Styela clava: one gene and its partner. The protein of the gene in region 1 purifies or fractionates together with the protein of each later gene. This does not show direct contact. Links are inferred from orthologs where the notes say so. Each region holds a gene or a part of one and is shown on either strand. Other genes may lie near its edges.

The links.
Region 2: the proteins of proton-coupled zinc antiporter SLC30A5-like (region 1) and zinc transporter 6-like purify together in Homo sapiens (co-immunoprecipitation; 5 studies listed by BioGRID and IntAct, with this or other methods). This does not show direct contact. The link is inferred for Styela clava from reciprocal best matches to the Homo sapiens genes SLC30A5 and SLC30A6.

The regions. Positions count from the first base shown.
Region 1 is NC_135256.1:4,828,548-4,836,742, reverse strand, and holds the start of proton-coupled zinc antiporter SLC30A5-like, read right to left. Parts: upstream 3,180-8,195; 5' UTR 3,124-3,179; coding exon 3,074-3,123; intron 1,219-3,073; coding exon 1,096-1,218; intron 1-1,095. Other genes in the region: sentrin-specific protease 1-like, read right to left, coding at 6,001-7,491. UniProt on the Homo sapiens protein: Together with SLC30A6 forms a functional proton-coupled zinc ion antiporter mediating zinc entry into the lumen of organelles along the secretory pathway.
Region 2 is NC_135253.1:6,834,662-6,841,833, reverse strand, and holds the start of zinc transporter 6-like, read right to left. Parts: upstream 3,140-7,172; 5' UTR 2,907-3,139; coding exon 2,795-2,906; intron 1,651-2,794; coding exon 1,607-1,650; intron 1,477-1,606; coding exon 1,305-1,476; intron 1,017-1,304; coding exon 800-1,016; intron 525-799; coding exon 403-524; intron 9-402; coding exon 1-8. UniProt on the Homo sapiens protein: Has probably no intrinsic transporter activity but together with SLC30A5 forms a functional zinc ion:proton antiporter heterodimer, mediating zinc entry into the lumen of organelles along the secretory pathway.

The DNA of each region.
Region 1 (8,195 bases):
CGTGGTTGTAAACAATACTTCCTTTTTTGCGATGCGTACATTTTTTGGAGCGAAAAAGCGGATTTTGTAACATCCCTAATTCACGACTGCAACGTTTTGATAACAGCTAAACTCAGGATAGTTGTCTAGATATAGAAATCTTGTATACTTGTTTTCTTAGTATGTTCTCGAATCATATTCTGCGATACAGGTATAGATAGAATTTAATATTCGAGTCTTCAGAAATATAGCATATATATTGTTGAATAAATTGAATCGATTTCCCAACTTTTGTGAATTTATTGCGTTGCATTGACAAAAATATTTGTCCGGCCCGTTTTAACACAGTTTGAGTCATATCCGGCTCGTGGTCAAAAAAGTTTGGTGACCCCTGGCCTAATAGATCAGAATATGTTTCATTGAGCATTGCATGAATGTGTATATTGGGAAGAAAAGTATAAAGACTAAACTTTTTATTGTAAAAGCAGCCAGTGTTGGTTACAAATTTCTAAACACTGAGCAAGGTAGAGTTGTTGAATCGTTGAGCTAAGTCTTACTGTCAAGTAGAGTTCGAGTCTGTGATAAATGGTGACTCGAACCAAACTCAATACCTCTGCCTACTTCTGTATTATATTGATACACAGGGGAGTAGCAGGGGGGGATTGGGTTTCCCCCCTCCTTTTTCAAATAAGAAAAAAATAGACCCTCGAGACTTTTGAAAACCCATGTTTTCTGACCTTCGGTCGTACCTGCTAGCTGATTCAATCTAATCCCTCCCTTCAAAATGCCTGGGATGCTACGAATCCCGAGTATTTGGGCAGTCTGCGATTGACTATCGCGTGATGTATGATGTCACAGACTTGGGTAAAATCATCAAAGGCTCGGGCCGAATCGAGTATCAAATTAAGAGAGATTTGGCCACGAATCCGAAGCTTGTCGCATTCCTACTGGCTATGCACCAGTTGATACAATCTTTGCACGCGATACCCTGGAAACCGGATGAAAGGTTGTTGTTCGCCATATGATTAAAAGCCATCTTATCGGCTTTCCACTAGCACAGGATAAATATGTAAATCCTATCCTTATAAAAATGTGGTTGGTATTAACATTACTCACCAAGCTTTAACAAAAAATAAAAAATACACAAGGTGGACGACTTTCAATAAATCATAACATTCAAAAAGTCCGATGCAACGAATCATCTTCACAACCATCAAAAGGAGTCCATGCTTCCCAAGACTGTAAAAAAAAATGCACAACAAGTTTATTTTTAGACACACAGTTTTGAAGAAGGGGAGCCTCTGGAAAGCAAAGTTAGTTATCAAGCGCAACACCAATGGAATAGTTACTTGTAAACTAATATCTGTGATAGGCCAGGTAACTCTCGCACCTTCATGGCACAGATTGCAAAATTGGAAGTCTTTGCGATTTTCTAATTCAATTATATGTTTGTTTTGTGTCTTTATTGCTTTCCAAGACTGTAAAAAAGGAAGCATAAACTACAGACATAGCAAGTTTATTTTCCCCAGCCAGTACAATAAAAACAATGGCATATAAAACAAGAGAGCTACGCACAAATATATGGACACGTTAGACCAGAGCGAATCAGTTCTTACCGGTACCTTTGACGCTATCGGTACCCTCAAAAAAGTTCTGAATTTCCAGTAGCAAGAATTTTGCAGAATCAAAACGTACAGCCAGTCATGACACTGACTAAAATCCGTGTTCCCATGGATAAAAAATAATACAGCAAATATCAAATTTCATAGAATTCACGCAAAATTTTGAAAAAAATAAAAGTAATAGCCTTCTAGCGAAAAAATTAATCTTTAACCACTGAAAATTTCAAAGCAATTGGTCCAGTATTCGAAGAGAAAAGCGACTTTTTGAAAACGTGTCAAAGAACAACAACAACAACAACAACAACAGAATATTGAAACGATCGTTATGTCCACTACGTGTCCAACAATGAGAAAAGAACACAAGATTTTACTGGGGATGGAAAGCATCTGGAAACCAAAGCTGGTTGTTGAATGCAACAACGATGTAATAGTTGTAATGTTGAAACGCCAATATTCCCATCCCCGTAATATTCCCATCCTTTAAGTTTTGAATAATGGTAGCTAAATATTAGCAGTATTGGGCGTGGATTTTTGGTGGGTTTTGCAAGAATCTTGGTGTTTTTTGACAGTGTTTGGTGGTTTCTCATGGTTTTTGCACAGTTTTTCAAATAATAGCTCTTTACATACTGCTATATATAGCAGTGCTCCGCAACCTTTTTTAACTTGCGGCACACTTATAAATCTTGCCAAATTCGACGGCACACCACAACAAACGGAAAAACAAAGTGTAACTTCGTTTTATGTTTATATTTCAATGAGAGATTTGTGGTTGTTTCAATGAGCACAATACGTGAAAGAGCAACTCGAAGTTCGCCGTCAACATCTTTTATACAGGATCGTTTATCATTTTTGATCAGTAATAAAGAGGAAAAGCTTTGTTCGCACACATGAGTTGTGCAAAACCGGAGCAATATTTCAATAGCTGCATTTGAATGTGCTTATATTTTTCTTTTATTGAAATCCTAAATACATCAAGTGGAATTTCGCCGAATTTCAGTTTTAGCGTTCTGTCATTTCTTACTTCAAACAAATTTTCTCGAATACGCAGGGGTAATTCTTTCGTTAAGCTCAAGTTTTATTTATATTCTATTACTACACATGCTATGTTTTATCCTTGACAGTAGGCTTTGCAATATATCTGCTTGATATATAGGCCTATTCCTTGTTACGTCACAAATACACAGTGGGGAAGTCAGGAATTTGAATTGGTGTCGCTCAAGCTAACGTAAAAGCAGGTTAACTTTACGTTAGTAGAGTAGTAGACTCTAACGTAAAATTAACAAAGGATAAAAAGAAATTTGTAAATAGAATGGAAAAGTTGCAATTCTTGTGCGGCACACCTGGCATCGTCTCGCGGCACACCGATGCGCCGCGGCACACCGGTTGCGGAGCACTGATATATAGGATCTCATTCAGAGTGAAAGGCGTGGTAATGAGCATTGTATAGAAGAATTAATAGTTTTGTAACTCACCTTTCCCTTGCTGCAGCAGTAATTCTGCCGAGATCATCATTCTCATTCATGCTGACTCATACGTAACTAATATTTAATACTTTAATGAATAGAATACTGAACAAAATAGGTGGTATTTCAATGAGTGTGGAAAAAAATTACAAAAAATTTGAATAGACAAACACAAAGAAAAAATAAGTAGGTGCAACGGCTTATTGGTTAAGATGCTAGACTCATGTGGGCATAGCGAGTTTGAATTTTTGAAGCTAAAACTTGATGTACAGCACCTCAGTAACGGGGTAGAATTACCGTAATCAGTAGAATTTTGATATTTCTGAAAAATATACCGCATATACTCGTGAATAGGTCACGCTTTTAAACCAAAAATGTATCAAATCAGAGGTGCAACTCATCCATTCGTCAATAAAAGATTATTATATTTTTGAGAAATTGAAACTGCCCAAAACGAAAAAATGCTGCAGATCACAGCTTCTGTGTGAGTATATAGGCCTTATAGGGTGTCCATAAAGTCCCTTTACGATTTCACTTTTGTTATGAAGTCGGTTCTCAAGATATCTTAACGAGGTTTGTTTAAGTATTTCAATTCATTTAATACATCTGTGAGGTCCAAAACAATATCTGGTATGGATAAATTCCCTTTGCATTTTTAAAAAAAATTCAAGATTTTGTGGACACCTTAGAAAGCATGAGGTTAAAGTTTAAACAGAATTCACAATGGAAAATCAATGAAACGTGATCACTCAGAATAATCTCATTTAAATGGGGAGAGTGGATGCTGCTTTATTATGCTTCTGTGCATTTTATTGTCAAATCGTACAAAAGGGACCTAAATACCAATTAAAAGTTTAATATTTTTATGCTAATTTGAAAGATTTACAATTAAAATTTTTGCTTTGAAATTAACTTTCAAATATTGTAAACAGTTTCGATTTTGTAGCCAAAATCACATTAAAATTTCTCCTCTATCATGAGTTAACTTTTAAGTAAAAAATGAATATTTTATGAAAAAAAAGCGATTCACATATCCCAATCCTAAGAAATAACTTAATATTCGTGAACATTATGAGAAATAAATACAAAGAAAGTACAAAAAAAAGACTCCCAACACCACACCAAATGACATCAACGAAGTTGGAATAAAATTGCAAAGTAATAATAGTATAACGTCATAAAAAATTACGGACTCTGTCAACTTAGGCAGTGTGGAATTCATTCAAAGGTTGTAGACAGGCAGGACTAAATTGTTAATAATAGCTTCATAATTATGATTGGCTGATTGCAGAGTCAACAGTAGACACAAGTAAGCTTGCAGAGAATACTGAGGAATACGGTAAACTTATTTCAAACTGAGCATTTCACAATAAGACATGGATGACTAAAACTGCGTAACATACATTTCTAATACATTATTATTGTTGTCAAATATAGAATAGGATTTACATATTCATCCCAGAAAGAAAGACGGGAAAACTACTTAATCATTTGGCCAAACACATAGCGAATCATATAGCGAACCACAGTCTCCCATCGGATACCAGTGCATGTGGAGTATGGGATTATTAGGCCAGGTACTTATTTTTTAAAACATGGACTTGTATACATCCTAAATCAGGAGTTGGAACATGGTCAAACGTGGAAGAGTTACGAAAAGTGTTTTGATTATCTATTTTTATGATTTTCAAATGAATGATTCTAAATTATGCCTAAATTCAATATTTTAAAATATAGAACATAAAATTAATTCTGCATCAGTTAGAATACCCCATTCATTTTATTTTTAGACATCCAGGAGATCCAAAAATGATACGCTGTAATGACTTTCAAGATGACTTACTGTAAATGTTGATGACGTACAATAATGAAACCATGAAGCAGATACAAAATAAGAACTTACGAGAGCTAGAAAATCAAATATAAATACTAAAAAATTGTCAACAAACAAATGTAATTTGAAATGATATAAATTATTTTATATAAAGGGTTCGAGAACTACTAAGCAAATTGTTGTAATCATTAATCAATACAGCAAACATGTTCAAGGAATTCAATATGCACTTTGTCATCACTGGGGCAGAGCAGTAAAAAATGTGTACAAAGTCCAGAATTACAATGGGAATAAGATTCTTTTTTTCTGAAAACACCATCACCATGATTTTAATACAACAAAAGTCTAAAAATTTAACAGTAAAATGAATTATTTTGATTATTTGAAATCTTAGAATACATTTCACATACATGCACTTTAAGCAAATATTTTTAATTATTCAAATTCTAATCAAATTTCGTCAAAGATTATCTGGAATTCATAAAAGTAGCTTCAACAATAAACAACGTATTATTCAACCAATAATCATTTAAATGTGTCTAGAGCAGGGTGGTTCAAACCCAGGCCCGGGGGCCACATGTGGCCCGCCACTTCATTACCTGTGGCCCGCGTCGCATTCGGAGAAAAATCAAAAAATCGCATTTCGTGTTGTTCGTCATAAAATTAACCAAAAATTCTTTTGACATTGTTGCATCACTAATGTCACTGAATTGACTAGTGTTATGGCTTGCTGAGGCAACTAGCGAAGTTAAAGTTCTTGGCACTATTGTGGCCCGCGAACAATGCAAAAGTAATTTTGTGGCCCGCGAAGCTGCCAATCTTGTACCACCCTGATCTAGAGTCTGGACTTATATTTCTAGGGCCCAAGTAATATTAATTTAAAATCCTCAACATAGATTATTGATTTTGCAGCCTACATAACACAAAATTGGGGATTCAAGTTCGATTCAAACTCCTTGCAGGAATCAATGGAGCATGGTAGCCAGAATAATGATGTCATAATGGATGGGAAGCAGATAATAATATTTAACAAAGGTTACCAAAGTAAACAAGATCCAAAAATGATATAAATATATTAGTACAATGTCATAAAGCTTCAATATCACCGTAGAAGTTTTTTGTTGATAATTTCCCATACCATGGCTCGCCGAAAGTAAGGCATATCTCGTTGGGAAAATGTTAAGTCTGATTTAGAAGTAATATACTCTGCAAATTTGCAAGCAAAGACTCCACAATCTGATCCATTCATTTGTTGCGGTATATCAGACATTGACAACAGTTGCCAGTCAGAAAGATTGATCTCTGATCCTTTTTTATTCTTGTGCTCACAAAGAAGATAATTTTTTAGGATTTCAAGGCATTCCCGATTGGCTCCACCCATTGAATCATAATATCTTATTTGTTTCGATATGAAATCAACGACAGCTAGACACCAATGCACGCCAAGATGTATTGGATACAGAACGATGTCTTTGGAAAATATATCAACTTTTTTTGTCCACCGACGTACTGATGTATAAGATTGCGTACTCAATCGGGGATAAAAGAATGTATTCATGGAATGTACTGCGGGGTAATCTTTTACATCTTTAGAGCGCTGGACAATCAATTCCATATAAAAATTTATAATTTCATCATTAAGCCAATTTAGACCGAACAAAGTCGACATGTGCTCGCGGGTTATTGAAATGTTGAAACACTCAGAAAGGACTTGATTTGGAGGATATGGAACTAGTGCTTTGTTTATGTGTTCGCTCATGTCGGAAGTCAGCTCAGGAAGTGTGGGTTGTTCGATAATCTTTTTTTCTTGGAGTTTTAATTTGTTGTGTAAAATTTCAGCCAGAAGTGCATCTTTCTCTTCACGTTTCTCGTGCCAAAGTCGGGCTCGTGTTTCTTCAGCACGTGTTTGAGCTTGCCTCTGACGAACTCGACGATTGTATGTCTTTAACATGTCAGGAACGAAATTTTGTGACAAATATGGGGAAGAAAACTCTTTCAAAATCTGGCTTCTCTTTATACTATCATTGAGAGTGGTTTCAGTTTGACTTTCGGCACCATTTGTTAGAATTAAAGGCTTCGGATGCTGAATTATAATGTTATCGAGTTCCTTTAATTTTTCCCGCAACATCGGAGCTTTTTTATCAACATTTTCGTCACGTTTTGTCTCATTTTTATTTGTCAAATCAATTATACTAACGTTGAGGTTTCTTTTCGCTTGCTTCATAGGTGTTCTAATTTTGTCATCGTTACTAAACAATGAAGGAGCTGGTTTTGTTGTCGTAGACCTATATTGTTCAATCAATCTTCGATACTGTTCTCGTTGATCTAGAGACGAACAGCGAAATACTTCGAGACTGCGACGCTTTGATGTTCTTTGTTTCATGATCCTGCTAAAACGTTTGCTTGGTGAATTTGCAAAGCCAAAAGCTTTATCATACAACGAAACCCCTGCAGTCCGTTGCATAAATCTAGAATAAGCATGAGTTCTCATTGAACTTGACGGCCTGGAACTTTTTAATCGTATGGAATCCCGCACCGAAATTTCAGGTAACTGGGGCACTACTGGCTGTTTTCCCATCACGGGCCGTTTCATAGGAGTCGTAGCCCTTTTAGGAGTTTCCGATAACAACTGAAGTCGCCCTAATCAGCAGTAAACGGATGTTTAACGTCAAGCATATACAGGTAAGCTGTACTGGAATATTTCCCAAAACTAAATTATTGCATGCCAGAATTTGAATGTAAACATATTCAAAAAAATATAATATTCAATTTATACGTGATTTAAACTGCGAAATATTCATTTAATAACATATAAAAAAGATTTGAAAATTATAATGTATGAATATCCAGCATTGAACAATTTATAATTGGAATACTCAAAATAAAATTCTAATGTGTGGGTATTTCTGGTAAGTATTATAAAATCTTGACGTCACTCAATTTTCGCTACAACGAATAATTCTAAATGCATTCATGCATGACATATGTTCTTTATCGCCAACTCGCGTATGTATTTTTATACAATAAAAGTATATTTATCCGGGGGGGGGGGGGGGGGGGAGGGAAACCAATAAGACGGCTCAACTATATTGCAAACCACGGTCTCTTGTCCGGTTATCATTACATGTCGGGTATGGGATTAGTTAGTTATTTGTTTTCGGAAGCATGGACTTGATGGTGGAGAAAGCCTAACCGACCAGAGGTTACGTGAACCACGCCATAGCGGCGAGGAGTCCAACAATCCTCTCGCACATAACCATTCATGCATGGGATTCGAACCTGCGTACCCACGCAGAG
Region 2 (7,172 bases), on another chromosome or scaffold:
TGATGCGACTTGAAAAAAACAGTATATCATGAGCAAAAGATAAAAAAAAAAAAATTTTTATATTTATCCCGGAGAAAAAAAGAAGGCGGAAGGGCAAACTAAAGTATCTGAAATCAAATGAATTATGCCAAAAAAGATGTAAAACGTTCATTTAAAATGTGCCTGCTTATCAATCAGAAAACCAATAATAACAGACCAAAGCAACCTTGAAAATCAAAAAATGCTTCAATTTTAAAGGCGGAGCACTTTGCTTTCATAGTCAAAATTACAATTGAATTTTAAAATTTCTTACAAAACTCAGAACAGCAAAAATATAACATATAATCCTGATAAATTAATGATAAAAGATAATCTGGGGTTCTATAAATTTACGACAAATAAACAATATATATATATAGTTACCTTCACAAATGCTAGTAAACGCATGATTTACAAGACAGTAATTTACTGTAACATGAAACAAAAATGCAAGTAGAGCACCAGGTAAAAGTCGCCCTGCATGAATCTCTGGCTGTTCAATCAATCTAAAATAAAAAGATACAGATCATGAGTTTGAAAATTTTGAATACTTAGTTATCATTAAATACATAACATCAACTATATCTATTACAGTTCAGTTTCAGACAAAGAAAATGTTTGATAATAGTCCAATTGAACTGTATGAAAAATGAGGATTATATAATATATGTCAAATTTCAATTTTGTTGTTAAAATAGACTAAATAGGTACCTAATATACTAGAATGCCAGCAACAACAAATATATATGCCAAACATAAGTAGGTATAAATTAATAATTACCTTTCAATTGCTTCCTTGAAAATAAATACAGCTCCCAATTGAGCAATGACAACAGAAGAAAATACTCCAAGAACCTCAATGCGTTCAAATCCCAGTGTATATGTATTATGTGAGTTAGATTTTGTTCTCTGATTTTGCAATAAAGACCATGATGATAATATGTAAGTGACCAGTCCAAGAAGTTCAAACATGGTTATGTAATTGTAGGAGCGCAAAGCTGAAAAAAATAATTACAAACCTTGTAACAAATAACACTAAATTCCAAACTACGATATCAGAGGAAAGAATACATGTTTATAAGCGTTATATTTTCGTAACGAATTTGTTAGGAATTATTTGTATTATAGGTTAATAAATGAGAAAAGCAAATATGCTATTTCAATGGTGGTACCTTTGAAGGAATTCCCACTATAAGTTTTGGTAAAAATGCAATGTATGGATGTATCGCATACAACTCCCTGGACTCTATTTTAGGAGTATAAATATTACCTGGGAAGATACTTACCTAGACTATTGGTTGATGAAGACCACATACTTAAGCACATGATAACTAGGCAGTTGATAAAAATAAAAAACGCAGCAACTCGAACATTTCTTCTCGTTAATAATAATCGAAACTCTTCTTGAAATTGTCCAAGTACAGTTGAATGAGATTTATGAAATGGATGAATTGTACCCTGGGAATGAAAACTATATTTGAATATCATAATCGGGATGTAGCATGTATTAGAATTTGCCATAGTTCTGTTTTGAATCATGAAATGGTAACAAATAGAATATACACATTATTCAATTAAAATTTCTCACCGATATAAGAGGCTTGCGAGTCCCCTTTCCAGTTAAATCAAGATCTGAAAATAAAAACAGGAGTTAGGTAAAAAACTAGGACCATGTCAAAATGCAAACTTAATCAAATCAAATATGATCATTTTTGAATACCCAGGAAATCTTCCTATTTCTGTATTTCATTACATGATTTAGACCCATCAACTCGACACAATTATTTCATTAGGAAAAATTAATGGCTATGTCAATATGAAATTATTTCAGGTAGCTTAGTAACATTTCTTCATCGAATGATGGTGAGTCCTAATACAATATCGCAATACTTCCGTAATGAGATTAATAATGTAGAGCAGATGCAAAGTCAAAGAAATCTTAATTCTGTAATTACCATACATATACCAGTATATACAGATATAACTACACAAAGTCATGAATCTGTAAAATTGCTAGTACAGTAGTACGTTATTATTAGTACGCACTAATTCTGTATTTACTTATTTATAAGCTACCATATAGCTTAGTATTAACAAAGAAACATGCAAATGTTTTGAATGTACAGATGTTGGGTCTCGTGTAGTTTCGTACCTAACATACTTCTAGTGGGCGTAGCATGACAATTTTTTCATGTGTCAATCCTAACCCCCACCTGACGACACCATCTAATAATTACGTCACTACGATGTCACAGTGACATAATGGAGCCCTTCAAACTATACCAACTGCCATCAAAGACGCGCAGACGAGCACCCGAAATCGAACAGCTATTTTTCTCGCTTTCTCGTCGCAACGATTCCAATATGAAAGAGATCAATAACGTCAGTCAATTCTTTATCGTCAGCGCCGATGCCATTTCGGACGATCGTACGTATATTCGGCAAGCTCTATGACGTGACTGTGATGTCGTAGTGACATAATTTTCGGATGGCATAGTCAGATGGGAGTTAGGATTGACATATCAAAATATTGTTATGCTACGCCCACTAGAAGTATGTTAGGTACGAAACTACACGAGACCCCAGATGTCTGGATGTAGGCCTAGTCTATGAGATTGATAGAACAAATAATGAATTACAGGTTTACAATACCTGAATACAGTCTCGGTATAGCCTACCGTACAATACCGTACTATAAAACCTAATTATGAGTTAAATACAGAAACATTCCAGCATACACTTAGACATTAGGTACCAGTACCGGTACCGTACGTACCTGACTCAGGATCAAGCAAGAGCGAAATATAATCTCCATGTTGCATCTCTGGAACACTACGAACATCCGATTTTTGTCCATGTGAAAAAAATTTAGCTTGTTCAGGGAGCATTTTCTTTGAAATGTGCCCCAATCGCTTCTGCTTCTTCTCGGGTCGGGTCTAATGCAGGATGCTACAGGCAGACAGGCTAGAGTAAGGAGCTTTACTCGAATACCGTGGCTTCTGTTTCAAATTCAGACCATGAAGCCAAGGGAAATGAAAGCTCTGCACGGAGTCAACTGAATATTTGAATCTAACCAAATATAGAGGACTTGCACGGGTCACGTGATTTTGTTACTGGACGGCAATGAAACAAAAACGTCCATAAAGCTCCTCTCTAGGCTTGCACGTAATTTACGGATTTACGGAATTACGGAATTATTTCGAGTTACGGAAGCGAAGTTACGAATTACGTAAATGCGTAATTATTGGTGGAGCGCTTTCGCGATTGAAACGAGCTCTCTTTAGAGCAGTCAATTCCGTCGATTGTAAAAAATTAAAGTTTAAAAAGTAGAAGAAGTTAGAGTTCCGGTATTCGCAGCCGTTTTTCTCTCTCTTGTTATGCAGATGGAGAAGGCATAACGTGTTGCCATTTACTAATCTATTATCAACTTATCTAGCATGGCAAATGTACATATTAAGCGTAGATATGGGATAGAATTGTGTCGAGACCGATGGACGCCAACACACCTGGTTTCAACTTCTTCGGGTGAAATGACTAAAGAATGTAAGAGACAACTTACCAAACATGGTCTATTTGTAAATGCCGTGATAATTAATGTCGCGCTTATCAAACAGCAATATGACGACGGAAGAGAAATTGCGTAATGAACCAACGCAACTTAGTCTTTTCGGCATCGGTAAAGCGATTCAGACGGCAGAGAAACAACAAAAAGACGGGATTTCCCATGTTTATACTGCGCGAGAGCCATTTTCTATTACAAAATCTTGATGTTCTGTTACCGGTTTTATCGTTATATATCTGTCCGGACTTGGCCTTGTTTTCACAATGCCTCGCACTATTTCGGCCAAATATGTCTTTACAATATCTTTAAGTCTTTACCAAATGCGGCAACTTATTTTGATTTATCGTCGACTCAAATACCACCGGCACTCGACCAAACTTGTGTCGACTTGAGTTAGAAAAGTAAATTAATATTTTCGTGAGTGCAAAATAAATGTCACCAAATGCATTGTTTTGCGATATAACTTTGTATTTTCGGAGAAGGCATGTCATATAAGTACGGTATTTAAATTATGCGCAAATAATTAATATTTGATATAAATTTATCGCAAATAATGTTATAACATTTAGGCCGCGAAATAATTTAATGTAAAATGAAGCATGGTAATCGGAATATCGTAAATAAGTCGGCATCAATAATTATTATAAAATGCTAACTAGGTAGTAAAGTCGGATAATGTAAAAAAACGGTACAATAACAAGTCTTCGTCGCGAGGCAAGCGCAAGTATAATCAAACGAGAGAATACGCTCGTCGTTGATTTATAAATTAGAAACCCGGAATTTTTAGTTAATACGAAACTCGTATTAATACGTTAATATGATTTAAAAAAAGTCAACTATCGTTTCATAAATATATTACCACTTACCAGTGTTGGTAATGATAAAATTGATCACATAAAATTGGGTGATAAAGTTGATAAAGGAAAATCAAAGCTAACACAAAAGACAAAAATCAGAATAAAATTAATTTGAATTCACTCCTTGATATTTGTCTTTAGCATCTGTCGCTGGCGTGTAGTACTGGCGGAAATATGAAAACCAAACTGTCCCAACTGTCGATGTCCCATTCGGAATAGAAGTGGATTAAATTGGTTGTTATGATAGGTTTAAAAGTGTGAAAAAAATATCGCAATTACGGGGTCATTACGTAATCGATTTGGCCGTAATTACGGAATTGATTTTTGTCAATTACGTGCAAACCTAAGCTCCTGTCAGTTGCAAGTCGGATTATACGTTTCCGTTTTGTTTGGCTGTTGAAAATGGTTATTTCGTATTGTTCCGCTGGCTGTACTTAGAGTATAGACAACGAAATGGATCTTCAGTTATATTCCACTGTTTTCAAAAGATCCGGAACGTCGCGCAATGTGGATATCTATCTATTGGCAGGACTGCTTGGTGTCAAGTTCAGAAGCCATCTCACTTGTGTTTCACTGTTTGCGGACAGCACTTCGTTGATGGTAAGTCATAATGTGCCGTTATCAATTTTTTGAATATTCATAAGCTCCCTCATTTCAATGGAAAGCAGATGACAAACTACTGTTATTGGTAGGCCTAGGCGTAGGCCGACTTGCAGACTTGACTCGTGTAAGATATTATTAGGTATTGTTTCCCTAGTTAGCAGGTAATCTATTAGTAAGTGTGAAAAGTTGAATAGATAACTAAAGTTTAACGCCAGTGCTAATGCAAAAAATAACCAGAATTCAATTGAATTCCCCATCTAAGAATACGCTCGCCACCGCATCTCTGATCCCCCTTGGAGTTTCACAGGTTCCAATCCCATGCGGGGATAGTTATGTGCGAGGGGATTGCAGCTCTCCTCCCATTGAGGGTGGTTCACACGACCGCTGGTCGATTACGACATCCCCCGCCACAATGTTCCCTCTAATTTTTTGTAGTATGTGTGCGCAGAAATTTTGGTGTGCGCGCACTTTTTTGGAAATGACTAATATTTGTGCAAAACCAATGAAGAAATTTTGGCGTTCTAACCGGGTAATAAGTGGGCCAACAACAAACTTTCTCAACCTGCCAACCGAGAACATTGTTACATTACATCGAAATACGTCTGTGCGCTGTAAATCTATGCGTGTGCGCAGCCTCTGAAAGCTGTGTGCGCGCGCACACGCGCACACCTTAGAGGGAACACTGCGGCCCGCCATCAAGTCCAAGCTTCTAAAACAAATTACTGGCTAACTAATCCCGACATAGAATGGTAATCGTACAATGTTGCACCTTGCAATCTGTCCCCAACCACAGATAAATTCTATCCTAAAAACTACTCACATTGGTAGGCATAGTTGCGTTTTAAAATGAAAGAAATCTTCATTAATGGTCAGAAGGTGTTTTCTGATTGTTTTGTTATTTAGCAGGTAATTTATTACTGATCTGATACACAAACTTGGCACTGTCAAATGATGCTTAGTGTTTAATTTATTTTCAGGAAAAAGGGAAGATAACCCATTATCAGCTGCTTATATGTCCCATCGATATTTGAATTTTCGCCATCCCCAGAGAGGAAGAGAATAGTTAGAAAAAGGGGGATTTTGAAGAAAGGCAAAAGGCAGGACCATTTCAACAAATTCTGTTAACTTGTATGCGTTGCAATATTAATTTGCAGTTGTTAGCATAAACATTTAATGTGTCTTTCGACTAGACCTACCACACTTTAAAAAAGCCGCCTACACTCCTTTTCACTAGAACCATAATACTGTAAAATATTTGATAGAAATTACCCCCGAGGCATCATATCTTCCATTTGAAAGGGCTGTGGAGGCAGATACATTATTTACTCTGAATTATGGAATGTTACTTCCAGGTTATCTTATCCTTGCTTATATATATCTTGAGGTTAGTGACTCCAACTAACCCATGCATGCCACACTAAAAATTCTCTTGTGTACCCATAAAAAAAGGCTGTTGGAGCCTTCAGACCTTGAAAACAGTCGAATCTGAGCACGATGGATTCATGTGAAACACGTAATATGCATTTAGAGGCAAAATATCCCATCCTGAGCAGCACCGATCCACAACCTCCTGCCTATGGAATCAAAACATTAGACAAATTGGTGTACTGTGCGTATTCACAAATTTTTGCGAATCAAGTGTGCGTTTTGACTAAATAAAATTTAGCATTGAAATGGTCAATCTCAATATCAACCTAGTATCTGCAGATAAAACCAATTGTTTTTAAAAAATACATTTTTGATGTGCTTTATTTTTCAAATATAATTTATAATTACTGTAAAATGTGTGATACATTTGGTACCATGAATACCATTTGCAAATTAGCTTGGGTTACACCCCTCTCAAATAAAAGATTAGACTCTTAAGTCATATCTCATAATATTGTTTAAACAAAAGGTTGCGGCTACCCATCAGAATTTTCTTTCAGATCACAAAGTCGCAATATTACGCCTCGCTAAGTTTCATTGGCAACTGTATCTGGTTGTAGTATCGGTGTCCAACGTTAGACTAAAACCTTCACTACCAGACCCACCGAAACAATTTTTTTTCTTTTCTTGATAGGGTCGTCTTGAAGTTGCTTTCGTTAAAGCACAATGAACTTTTTGTCTCCACCATTCCACAGTAATCACAA